Drosophila melanogaster: one gene and its partner. The protein of the gene in region 1 interacts with the protein of each later gene in a biochemical or structural test. Each region holds a gene or a part of one and is shown on either strand. Other genes may lie near its edges.

The links. The genes of interacting proteins can lie anywhere in the genome.
Region 2: of the proteins of stet (region 1) and grk, one has a biochemical effect on the other in vitro, tested with the Drosophila melanogaster proteins (one study listed by BioGRID).

Annotation. Positions count from the first base shown.
Region 1 is NT_037436.4:1,485,063-1,492,200, reverse strand, and holds the start of stet (stem cell tumor), read left to right. Parts: upstream 1-2,653; 5' UTR 2,654-2,749; intron 2,750-3,155; exon of another isoform or gene 3,156-3,295; intron 3,296-3,369; exon of another isoform or gene 3,370-3,462; intron 3,463-3,693; 5' UTR 3,694-3,784; coding exon 3,785-3,955; intron 3,956-4,010; coding exon 4,011-4,103; intron 4,104-4,171; coding exon 4,172-4,195; intron 4,196-4,265; coding exon 4,266-4,442; intron 4,443-7,138. Other genes in the region: CG12084 (uncharacterized protein), read left to right, coding at 1-217, 283-447.
Region 2 is NT_033779.5:8,429,375-8,435,307, reverse strand, and holds grk (gurken), read left to right. Parts: upstream 1-1,709; 5' UTR 1,710-1,893; intron 1,894-2,035; 5' UTR 2,036-2,225; coding exon 2,226-2,295; intron 2,296-2,813; coding exon 2,814-3,431; intron 3,432-3,566; coding exon 3,567-3,766; 3' UTR 3,767-4,222; downstream 4,223-5,933. Other genes in the region: D12, read left to right, coding at 1-1,099; Akap200 (A kinase anchor protein 200), read right to left, coding at 4,941-5,027, 5,846-5,933. UniProt on the Drosophila melanogaster protein: Critical for defining the anterior-posterior and dorsal-ventral axes of the egg. May signal directly to dorsal follicle cells through the receptor torpedo (top).

The DNA of each region.
Region 1 (7,138 bases):
GCACATTGCCTCGGACGGAGCGGATGCCTGGACGATCAAGACGCCCAGCCGGGAGCACGTGCTGGAGCGCATGGTGGCCGCCATTCAGCGGTGGAACATCAAGAGCGAGCGGAACATCAACTACCGCAGCTTTGAGCCGATCCTCAGCCTGGTGCGCTGCTACGAGACGCCCCAGTGCCAACATTGGGCTGTTTGGGCCCTGGCCAATCTGACACAGGTGGGGGAGCAATTCCTTTTCCCATTGTTGGTGCATTGTGTACTAACTTCTGCATTCCGTCACAGGTTTATCCCGAAAAATATTGCAAGCTGGTGGAGCAGGAGAACGGCATCCAGATCCTCAACGAGCTAATCGAGCACGAGAGTCCCTACTGCGAGATCAAGCGCATCGCTCGCCTGGTCATAGAGCAGTGCGACTCCGGATCGGAACGCATGGTCGTCGACGGCTAAGCGGATATTTAGGATAACACGTAGCTTTAGGAGTCGAGTTTGTTGTAATGTTTTTTTTCTGCTTCCTCTGTTTCCCGTTTTAAAGCAAGTGCATGTGTTATGTGGTTCAAGAGATTCTTCCTTGACTTTTATGTTTACAGCGAGAGCAGCAGATACATAGATGCAAGTTTAAACTATGCGAGAGTTAAGCAACTAAATCTAATGATGCAGAAATATTCGATAATTACATAATTACTAGATTATATATGTATATGATGTATCACATGTTGTAAGCCAGCGATCTTTTTAGGCCTTCAGAAGTGTAAATATTGTTAAAACCGGAAAGAGGAAGACATTGGAGTAGCAAGCAAGGCTGCTGGAGATTAAATAAATCCTTAAGAATTGAATTCCCCGTGGATCGATAGTTCTTTCTCTAGCCACATAGACGAGTGTATGGAATCTGTTCTTTGAATTGTGGTCATCATACGATGCTCACTTAACCCCCCCACATTTGCTGTGCTTTCGCATCACGAACCCAAGTAGCTGCAAGTTCAGGATCGGATCGTTCAAAATAATCTAGCTATATAATCTAGACCACTAGGCTAGGCTTAAGCAACTGTAAATATATTGCAAGTAACAGTTTTGAAAGTTCTGCGCTTGGCATTAATATTTATAACAGTGTACGTTACCATTAGTTACCTTACATTACGTATATACATATATATAATTTGATTCGTAAGCGACATCACGCCTGTGTCTTACCAAAGACCCTAGAATAACAAGATGCGTAACGGCCATACATTGGTTTGGCACTATGCAGCCACTTTTTTGGTGACGGCCAAAATTACTCTCTTTCCGCTCACTCCCGCTGAGAGCGTAAGAAATCTAAAAATATAATTTGCTTGCTTGTGTGAGTAAAAACAAGAGACGAGAACGCGTATAAGTGTGCGTGTTGTGCTAGAAGACGATTTTCGGGCCAAAATCAATTCTGATCGAAGAAACGAATTTACATGGTACATATTAGGGTAGTTTTTGCCAATTTCCTAGCAATATGATAAAATAAAAAAATTTTTAAAAATTCGCGCCCTGACTATTATAATTTTAAAGCTTTTTTAAATTTGTTTGTTAAAATCGCCGCTTGAATTAGCTACCGTTTACACATTTATATTTATGTTTAATTCTAATTTGTCTCTCATCTGACAATTTTTTAAAAGCGAAATATTTTTTTGAAACACTTTTAATGTTAATGTTACATCATATTAAGTCAAATGATTTAATAAATATACTAAATAATTAAATATGCAATTAAATTAAATTGCAAAAGTAATATCAAAGACAATAGAATTATTCTAGTGTCTTTGCTTTGTTCCACGGCCAAAAAATCGTGTGCCAAAAAATCGTATGGCGTTACGCATCTTGTTATTCTAGGGTCTTTGGTCTTACACTTTCCTTACCATCCAAAATCACACGATTCTTACAGTGGAACTTTTCTTAAGTTTATTATTTCTGCTTTTGATCGATTAAAGTAATTTTTAAAAATATTTTGGTACAGCTCTTACTCAAATAAAGCTCAGGAACTTCCATTTAACTTATCTATTTGAAATCATTATTTTTTTTTAGACATCATTAAAGAATGAATGCATCACACATTTAAGAAATCTGTTTTTATCATATTTAAAACGGATTTTTTGAGTTTAGGGCTAGAAAGTTTTCCAAATTAAAAGTTTGCTCTACAAAATACATTCATTAATTCGACTTCATTCATAAAACATCATTTCACAATCGCAACTTTGTAGCACAGTGTGGAGTGGAGTGTGCCAACCAGAGCTTTGTCTTCATCATATGTATGTGATATGAGTAAGTTTCAATAAAGCTGCATCTCCCGTGCAGTTTCATTCATCAAGTTTTCAGCAGTGAATCACTAACTAGTATGAAAACTAGTGATGATTTTAACATTGGCATTCCACGGTGCAAGTCGCGGGGTGTGGGGTGCGTAGCCGCTGTTATTATCGAAGTGCAGGGTATGTAAACATTAGGGGGTGTGAGTGGCCAGCTCTGGAATTGCGTCATGCGCCCCCTCGCAGAGCGGGTGGGTGGGCGCAGGGGAGGAAGGAAATGCCAACGGGTTGGAAATGCTTTCCAAGCTGAGCGCATGTGCCGTGGGAATCCGAATCCCCTGCATCCCCCAGAGAGACACTCTCTCTTCTCAATTTTGGCAGCTCTCCTTGGTCAGTTGTCATTTTGCCGGCGGAAAGTTCGCGTGTTTGTTTTTGCCTGGATGTAAATGTGCAATAGTTTTGCGTTCGCGGGTGCAAGCAAAACGGTAAATAAAAGTGAAATAAATGAAATAAAGAAAGCCAAAGGCCAAGCAGAGAAGCGCAAGCAAGAAAGTCCTGTGAACCAAATAGAAAGCAAAACACACGGGGGGTAGCAATCAAGCCAATTCTCCTTCAATGGAAGGAGAAGAATGCGCATTCCATTCATTCGCTAACAAAACCATTCAATCAATGCCAATTGCCTAGTTTAATTCAACAAAATGAAAACAAAATTGTTCCGGCAATTGACGAGGCGTAAACAAAATGCAAAACAATTGTTTGCCAGCCGGATTCTGCGCAGTGTGCCTTATATTTCCAGCAGGATCAATAACCTTCTTATCAGCGGAAAATAAGGGAAAACGACAACAAACCGTTGACTTGGCAATCAAAACAAAGGGCAAAAGCAAAAAGGAAATTTGTTTGCCGGCCATGAAATAGACTATGGTATTGAAAACCAGCAGCCTATGATTATCCGGAAGTATCTCTCTGGGCCCGCGGAAAGTGCAACAATTCTAGTAACGTCAAATTGCAACAAACTGATTTCACAGGCCCCCCCAACCCCAACAAACAGAAAATCTTAATTTCTTTTCTTAAGAAAACGAAATGAATGAATTATTTTTTTTATTCATCTCGACACAACCTCGGCGGCACTCGAACCGCCACTCGAAAAACGTGAGCACGCGTGAATCGACATCTCAGCGCACTCGACCAAATCGGTGGTGGAATTTATGTCGTTCAAACTGAACTGCCTCCAAAAGAGCTTTTGAGTTAAAGAGATTGAAAAGCTCTGCACAGTGGATCCACTTGGCGAATTTCGAAAACAAACATTTTAAAAATATATAACAGCTATTTACTTTTTTTGTTTCAAATTATTATTTAAATTTCTACAATATTGGGGAATAAAAGGACAGACAAGTTCGGAGCATAATACTTGATAATTACTTTTCCGCAGCTGAACTCTAATCGCTACAAACACTGCCAAACCACAACACAACGATCCGCCCTGATCCCAAAACCAAATCTGGATAGCCAGGAACAGCAGGATGTGGCCCGGCTCCGAGCGAGGAAGCTCGCGGGCCCTGGAAATCCCAACCAGCCAGCAAAATGCCGGCGGTAGTAGTCAGCAGGAGACTCTGGCCGACATCGAGCACATATCCACCATTGCCGGCTCCCTTGCCTCCATTGGATCCCTCTCGCACACCCAAATGCGCTATGTAAGGAGCCGGAGTTGCTTGTAAAGATCGTATCTCTAACTCTAATTACCCGCAGCAATGCACCAATGATGCCGGCTATGATACGGAACACACGTCCCTGAACTCGGACTTCGATGAGGCCGAGCTGCGACGGGAGCTACTAAGAGATGTGAGTTCCAATACGAAAATCCTGAACATTACTTATTATAATTCCTTCTTTCTTCACTTTACTTACAGAAATGGAAACTGCTCTTTGACATGGTGAGTAAGCCAACCCAAAAAGGAATACTTATAATTATACTTATTTATAATTACTTTTCACGCTTTGCAGTTCGATCCCGAGGGTTTTGGCGAAATATCAGTCGAGGAATTCCTGGAGGCCCTCAAGTCGCCGGAGTTCCTGTCCCAAGTGCCTATGAACAAGCGGGAGCTGCTGCTGGAGCGGGCAAAGAAGGCGAAGCTGCCCACAGGACCCGGCTACGTGACGTTCCAGGACTTTGTGAATGTGGTGAGTGTGCCGTGTGCCGCAATTACAATCGCCGGTGGTCACTGGCCAAGTAACCAAAGTAACCAAAGTACCCAAAGCACCCATGCCATGCGTATATTTGTCCCGGGCTGCTCATCAACGGCAAACTCGATTTAAGTGCAAACACAGGTGCAAAGTACTCACCCAGGACGAGGTCCAAAGTGTAGGCTCGTGTTCAAACAGACGGAGGACAAGGCCTCGTCCTGGCAGGAGCCGCACTCTTGTTTGGCAAATGCAAAAAGTGCGCTTGGCAAATAAATGCGCCGCTTACGCTTACACTGCGAATAAAAGGGGGTTACTTACTTTTATGCTAGTACCTATGGACACCTTGTTCCGGAAGCAGCAATGTATTTGAATGAAATACACTGCGCATTAAGTTATTTGAAGGATATACCAAGGACATCGATTGTAGAAAAAGTTAGACCATAGTTTTTCTGTATGTAAGCCCACGTCTCGTTTGCTTCCTTCGCCACGCTTGGCCAGGCATTTGAGTGTTTGTCCTGGTTACCTGGGCACTGGCTATTTGTCCTGATGTGGTCCGAAAATACTACCTTGGACTTGAGCTGTGCAACTGGAGGGGAGTGGGCGGCAGAGGTGACTTCTGCGAGCGAATGAAGCGCTTTTCTCGGCTTTTCCTTTGATTGGCAGGGCAATCCTATTGCATTTTGATTGATTCTACCCAGTTGATTGGCACGCACACAAACCGCACACGACAAAACACTCATGCATAATCAATTGCACAGTGAATATTCCTTCGCCTTGGCCGTTCGATTGTTTGCCAAAGTGTCCTTAAAGTCATGAATTAGCCAGGCCGACGTGTCCTCATTTGCCCCTGTGTGTGTGTGTGTAAGTGTGTGAGTGAGTTTGGGCAAAGACACTAGAATAACAAGATGCGTAACGGCCATACATTGGTTTGGCACTATGCAGCCACTTTTTTGGTGACGGCCAAAATTGCTCTCTTTCCGCTCGCTCACGCTGAGAACATAAGAAATCTAAAAATAGAATTTGCTTGCTTGTGTGAGTTAAAAACAAGAGACGAGAACGCGTATATGTGTGCGTGTTGTGCTAGAAGACGATTTTCGGGCCGAAATCAATTCTGATCAAAGAAATGAATTTACATTGTACATATTAGGGTAGTTTTTTGCCAATTTCGTAGCAATATGATGAAATAAAATAATTTTTAAAAATTCGCGCTCTTCTTATTATAATTTTAAAGCTGTTTAAATTTGTTTGTTAAAATCGCCGCTCGAATTATCTACCGTTTACACATTTATATTTATGTTTAATTCTAATTTGTCTCTCATCTGACAATTTTTTAAAAGCGAAATAATTTTTTTGAAACACTTTTAATGTTAATGTTACATCATATTAGGTCAAATGATTTAATAAATATACTAAATAATTAAATATGATAACTGTTTATTGCAAAAGTAATATCAAAGACACTAGAATTATTCTAGTGTCTTTGCTTTGTTCATATCTTGAGGCACGAAATGCGGACACAAGCACTCAACAATCATTGCCTTATTAATTTTTCACACGCCGCAAGATGAATACTCTAATGACAAATATTCTTATATAAAGTCATGTTTGAAATTGATTTTTGTGATAATATGTACATAGATTTGGCTTTTTCTAATCTATTTTCAAATAATAATAACGTTAAGGCAATGCAAAACAAGAATTTTTCGCATGGTGCCAATTGATAAAAAATAATATAGATTTAAAGTCTAAGAACTTCTACGGTGAAGGGCATATTTTGTCAAATTTACAATGCATGAGCATACGTGTGCACACATAAAGTTGTCTGCTATCACTGTATGCGTAGAAAAGAGCGGTTCGCTGTAGCGCTCTTCGCTCTCTCGCTCTCTAACAAAAATTCGAGAGAGCCTGGAGCCACCTCTAGAGCCACGGCCAAAAAATTGTGTGCCAAAAAATCGTATGGCGTTACGCATCTTGTTATTCTAGTGTCTTTGGTTTGGGTGTGTGCCTAACGGTAATTGCGGATGAGACCCGGGCCATTCTTTGCACAATGGATTTCCATTCCACATTCCCCCGGCGAGGACATTATTAGGTCCTTGTTTGGCCTGCTAATGCATTTGTTATTCCAATTGAGGGCTCCGTTTCCCTCTATGTCTCTCTCTCTCTCTCTCTCTCTCGCCTTGGCGAGCCATTCATATCTTTGCCAGCAATCTGAGATCCTTGTTGCCATCGTAGACAACATATTTCCACTTAATTATAAATTGCAATGATCTGCCGGACACGGGAGGGCATATTAACCAGGACCTGGCGGTGGAATCGCCAGGAATCCAGGAATGCCGCGATGCGATGTCCAACCTGGCAATGCGCCATGCATAATGCAGGCTGATGATTGTTGCATTTCCAACAAAAGCTCGCACGTGACAAATCCTTTTATGGCAGCGCACAGAAGTCGGGCATGTGGATGCGGCGAGGACGTGGTCCGCAAGACGCCACCGAGGGGCACGACGTGTTGAACGTTATGACAACTGGAGGCACGAGGCGCGCTGGCGACTGTCGTTTGTCTTCCTCGGCCCAGTCTGCATCTGGCCGCCACTTGGGTTCCCATTCCCAATCCCACTCCCATTCCTATTCCCCGACTCTCGACCAGCCATCGGACATCGGACATCAGGCACAGCAGGCGACGGCAGCCGGTCAGG
Region 2 (5,933 bases), on another chromosome or scaffold:
ATGGCATATGCTGCAGTGCATGCAGCACGATCATGGGTACGCCAACATGAGCGGCGAGATGGAGGAAAAGCCAATGCTGTTACCTCCAATTGTGGACACTACCATACAATCGCGACCCCGAAGGCTGGAGCACATCTTTAGAAGTGCACAATTCCGAAATATGCGCAGTGCTGTGGAGTTCCTGCTGAGCCGCCTCCCGCTTGCGTCGATTGATCAGCAAAAGGAGTATCCATTCACTTGTATAACCCTCGAAGAGTTCCACAATCACACTGCTCTAAAACAACGTTGCTTTGAGTACCTGCGCGCACGTATGCTCCGTCGCTGTCTGATGCAGCACCACGAGCTGCATAAGTTGGACATTAGTGGAAAGGAACACTACTGGAGTTTACGGGAGATAGTGGCGTTCGCCAGGGTTCATGGTTATACGCCAGCTCTCAAAGATGTTTTACCTGTCGTGCATGAAAAGAGAAAACAAAAACTGAGCGATGAGGAGCAACTGGCTCGGCGTGTTCAGGCGCAACTAAAGGGCGAGCCCCAACCGCAACTGTCGGCCTATAGCAGTCTCAGCTCAGGCAATCGGCTGGAAGCTTGGATAACCAAGCAATCCGATCGTCTGCTTGGTCATGATCAACAGATGCGGGATAAGGAGTTCATCGATGTGTTGGGTGTGGACAAACCTCATCCGCTTGCGTCCAGGTTAACAAACTCAGCAGATGTATCTTTCCAAATGGTGAATCATCGCCAACTACTTTATCTACCTCCGCCGAAGCACTTGGATTCGACCTTGCAGCTGGTCCAGGAAATGTGCAAGGACATTAATATCACACTGGAACCGGAGGAATCTCCGCCTGGCGTCTCCCAGCCACTGGCTCTCTCGATGCTCGGACAAGTGCTGCGCACTTTTATTGAGAAATTGGTGCGCCGCTCCTTGGCGGCGAAACTGCAACAGGAGACTTTGGAACAGTTGCCACCGGCGGCGGCCAATGCTCCGTTGTGTCTCCAACCTCAGGACATAGGCCGTGTCATCAGTCTGTGTTCCGAATTGGATTTCCTCGGAAACAGTCACTTGGGAGTTGCTCCGATAGAACCACAAATCTAATGTGCAGTTGCCATTGTTTTGAATTTATTTTTTATCAAGTCCGCGTCATAGTTCAAATTCTACTGGGATATTAGTTGATATCTAATTAGAGCCTTGTACTCGTTGGTAAGCATAAATCTAAGCAATAAATTAACTAAATTAATGTCCGAAGAAATGAATACTGCGTTTTTAATTATCAACGATTATCATATTTTGGACGAAATCATGAGATGAGTGGTCATTAATTTTTAAATTTTGAATATCTGGCTGAAGACTTTTAAATTGTTTTATCAATATAAATAATAATCGCTACAATTGCATATTTGTACGAAACATGTAAACATTTTTAAGTCTTATCAGCTATCTTCACAGAGTAATATATCTTTATAGTGCCCTAGAAGTATGCAGTGAAAAGTGCCGTTAACAAATTGAATAACTGTTAAAGGGCGGTTTTTTTTTGCAGCTCTTAGCATATCCATATGATTCTTCGACTATTATCGGTCGCAATCGCATCTCTTTTGGGGGCGCTCTCTTCGCTCTCCCCGCTCACCGATCGATTTCATTCATGGCGCATGCCAATGCCGCCAATGTAGGGATGAGGTCCATCTGTTTCTCTGGCTCTGTTTTCCTCAGTCTCTTTTCCGACGTGCGCGCAACAAGACCTAAAATCAAAGTGGAGCAGAGAAGAGCCCGCTTCCCGCGCTTGCTGCTCTTTAGATTAACTAATTAATTACTTGCCTGATATATAAAATGATTCACGAGTCATTATAATAATTATAATGTCGAAGCCTTCTACAGGCCATATAGCAGCTCCAGTACGTCTAAGATAATCTATGAAAAGCTTTTGGATCACCAATTTTGAATGCTATTTCTTTTCCTTTTTTTTTTGTTTCGTGTGTGTGCGTTCGTGCGACAGAAAATGTGGAGGCGCTAAAATGTTCTATTTTTATTTTGCAGTAAAATCCACAAGGAGATGCAAGTGTGTAGTATGTTTCAGCTTCTGTTGCGACGCCAAATTGCATTTGCGGCCAGCACGCCGCTCGATCCCTCGATCGTTTAGACCCCTTCATTGACTCAGTTTTCCTAGTGGTGGACAATCGGTCCACCCAATCAATATTTTTCGGAGCGCCACCCCAAGCGTTTTCCAATGATGCAAATCCCATTTACTCGGATTTTCAAAGTAATTTTCGTGCTCTCAACAATTGTCGCCGTCACAGGTACGTACATAATCTCCACCTGATTTTTAGATTCCAATATTACGGCCAGTATTGCCAGGCTCTCCCACAAAAAAAGCTATTTCTAGCGTCGAAAAAACTGGAAAACAGCTACAACAAATCATAAAATATTTGCAGTGCTGATTATATACTTGTTATGCTAAAAAACTAAAACTTCCTTGAAAACTGTGTAAAATCCTGTATTAGCTTTCTGTTCGTGGATGATGAATGAAGTAAACTTCAGATAATATACATATTTGTGAATTATTTCTAAAGATTTTTTTGAGTTTCATTTAAATACTGTCCTTATGAACAAACTTTGCATTCTTAAAAATTAAAAAAATTAGTAATAATAATACCATAGGGAGACATTTTTATGATAATTTCAAAAGTTGCCGCACTAAAAACTGAAAGCTTTTTGTACTTCAACTTGAGCTTTACAACGTTATCTATTCTGTATCTTTGCGATCACTGGAAATGTCCTGTTTTCTTAATCGCACACCTTCTTCTGTATTCTGCAGATTGTTGTTCGAGCCGAATCTTACTTCTCCGAGAGCATACGCTGAAAATTGTGCAGCATCAGCACAGCCACATGCACGAGCATGCGCACGAGCTGCAGCAGCAGATCCAGGAGACCGCGGTTGAGTTGCTCAATCGCCTGGAGCTGCAGCGCAAGCAACTGGAGGCCTCGGCCCAGGAGGAGGCAGACCAGCTGCATCCCGATACGGATCCCAATCCGGACTCGGGCGGCCAACTGCCAAACGCAGACGACTCCATTGCTGCGGATCCGGAACAGGATGGGATAATTCTCGGATCCAGTACCGACACCTGGTTGGCCAGCGAAAGCAGCACACCAATCACTGATTCCGAGACAGTGACAACACCCGAAACTGTTACCCACACCGGAGAACCGCCACCTGACCCCAGTTCGTCCAGCACGCCTGACTCCACGACTCCCAGCCCGAACGACAAGGAGACAGAGATTCAGATGCTGCCCTGCAGCGAAGCTTACAATACTAGCTTTTGCCTGAACGGCGGCCACTGCTTCCAGCATCCGATGGTGAACAACACAGTCTTCCATTCCTGCCTCTGCGTTAACGACTACGATGGAGAGCGGTGCGCCTACAAGAGCTGGAATGGTAGGTACTCTACTCTAGCATAGCCATCCATTCACAGAAGTCTCTTCCTGTGTTGTATGGAACGGATGGAACTAACGATATCTATTAGTCTGTACCCAGTACATGGTAACTAAATGAACTCATTGATCATTGCAGGTGACTACATCTATTCGCCTCCAACAGCGCAGCGGAAGGTCCGAATGGCGCACATCGTCTTCTCCTTTCCCGTACTCCTCATGCTGTCGTCGCTCTACGTTCTCTTCGCAGCCGTTTTCATGCTCCGCAATGTGCCGGATTATCGCCGGAAGCAGCAGCAACTACACCTGCATAAGCAGCGCTTTTTTGTCAGATGCTGAGATTTAGAATTTGATTTGGAAACAATTTGGTTTCACCTATATAAGCCTCCTCTTTGTTGGATGGCAAATTCTTGTTGACCATATTTCTTTACGTTGCGCAGCGTAAAATTAACGCTTTAATTTATTGAATACATTTAGTGTACTTAGTAGGATTTTCTATTTAGTTGCAAAAGACGCACAAGTTAGTATTTGCTTTTCTTTATCATTTCTTAGTTTCGTTTGTTTCGCTTTTGAAGCTTTCGTTGGAGCTTTTGTAGTTTGTTTGTAGTAACATTTTGTTACGTTAAATTAACCATTACGAAATATAATGTAATCTTAGCGCTTACTCCAGTTACCAGGACAAGTGATTATTTTCGTAACACTCTGTTACATTGTGTATATTGTAAAGAAAAACTATTTTGGTAGTGTATTAAAGAAGAGGATTGGGACTCGACTCGAAACAGAATTAAAACATTCAAAACATTGTTTCCTTTCTGCGGTTCATCGTATCTCGTATCTCGTTTCTATCTCTCTCGTTTTTTTTTTTCAGCCGGCGGATATGAGTGAAGCACGCTTTTGGGTTTTATATTTTATAATATATATTTTATCCAATATTTCGTCCAAAAATTCTTTACAAATTTCTTCGAACTTACAGTTAAATGTATAGTAGAAATTATTCAAAAAATTCTCCTCACTTTCATCATTTCATCGTATATGATTTGTTGATTCTTTCGCTATCAAGATCATCAATATGAGAATGGTATGTATGCGCTTGTGTGGTGGATGGTGTGTGCTTGATGGGTGATGGATGTGTTTTTGGGGACTTAACCCGATCTGGAATTGAGAGGCATCAATAAAAAAAACTATTGATTCCTGCGCGTGGGTGGTGTTTGAGTGGGGCGTGGTGATTGGTTGCAGTGGTTGCATTGGTGGCGTGGATGGTGGTGTCGCGTGTAACTCGGACTTTTGCTTGCGTATATCTTGGATTAGGGATATGAAGTTCGTACAAAAATTATTTAAAATATGTAAATGTTTAAAAATGTATTTTTGCTTGTTTTTTGTTTTGTTTTGTTTTTATCTCGTTTATCTTGTAATTGTTTGTTGTTTTACGTTGCGTTCTTTTGTTGTTGCTTGTATCGTTTGTTGTTTTGTTTTTAATAATATGTAATATTATATATAATAATTATGAGTAGGATTATTCGCATGTAACGGGCAGTTGTTCCTGTGTTGTAACGTCTGCCGCGGCGGCATTCTTCTCCTTCAGATCCTTGGCGAGATCCACCTGTGAACAAACGCAATGGAAATTATTAGTTGTTTATCTGGTCAAGGCTTTTGCTTTGTGTGTTGCATAAAAAAAAAATTATTAAAAACTGAAAGCACAACAACAACAATTAAGGGGAAAGAAAGTTCGCGACAATGACAAAGGCGCAAAAACAAAACGAAATAGTATACAAAATAATGTATTTAATAATAAGCGATTTACGAACTGTGTGTGCGAGTGTGTGTGTATGTGTGTAGTGTTTTTAACATTAAGGTACAGTTGTGTATTTATGGTCTTTGGTTTTAGTGAGAGCCAAGAGTTACGACAGCCAAACAGATATTGAGTTAGGACAGAGCGGGGTATAAATGGGTTGGGTTTTGAATAATTTTCTGTTTTCTAAATTTGTATTTTGGTGTGCATGTGTGGAGGATTAGGATGAATGCGTTTTAGGTTGTGTTTATGGACTTGGTATCTTGCGGTTAATACAATGCAGTCGCTATCCTCGGTTTAGTATTACGTACTTCATTCGCTTTATATCACCAAAAAATATCATGCAATCCCCGAGCAATTCAATCAACATCAATCAATGTACCAAACACTAACGAACTACGTATTAACAACTACGGCAACAAGCGCGCTACCAGCAGCAGAATATCTGATGCCATTTGAATGGGAAACACACACAGAGTGGAGAAAGCAGAAGAAGCACGCCCAGGACATAGCTCCATGCCCACCAAATGGAGCGCCAGATGCAAGAATGGTTATATGGTGTGTTGAAGTCGATGTGTTTTGAAGACTTGAGGTTGCAGTTTTAAGAACCACTGCCACTTGCTATTCACCTTGTTGTTGCTCTCGCCCTCCTGTTCCGCGGATCTCGCATCCAATTCTACCAGCAGATCGCCGCCTGCTTTGGTAATCGGAGCATCC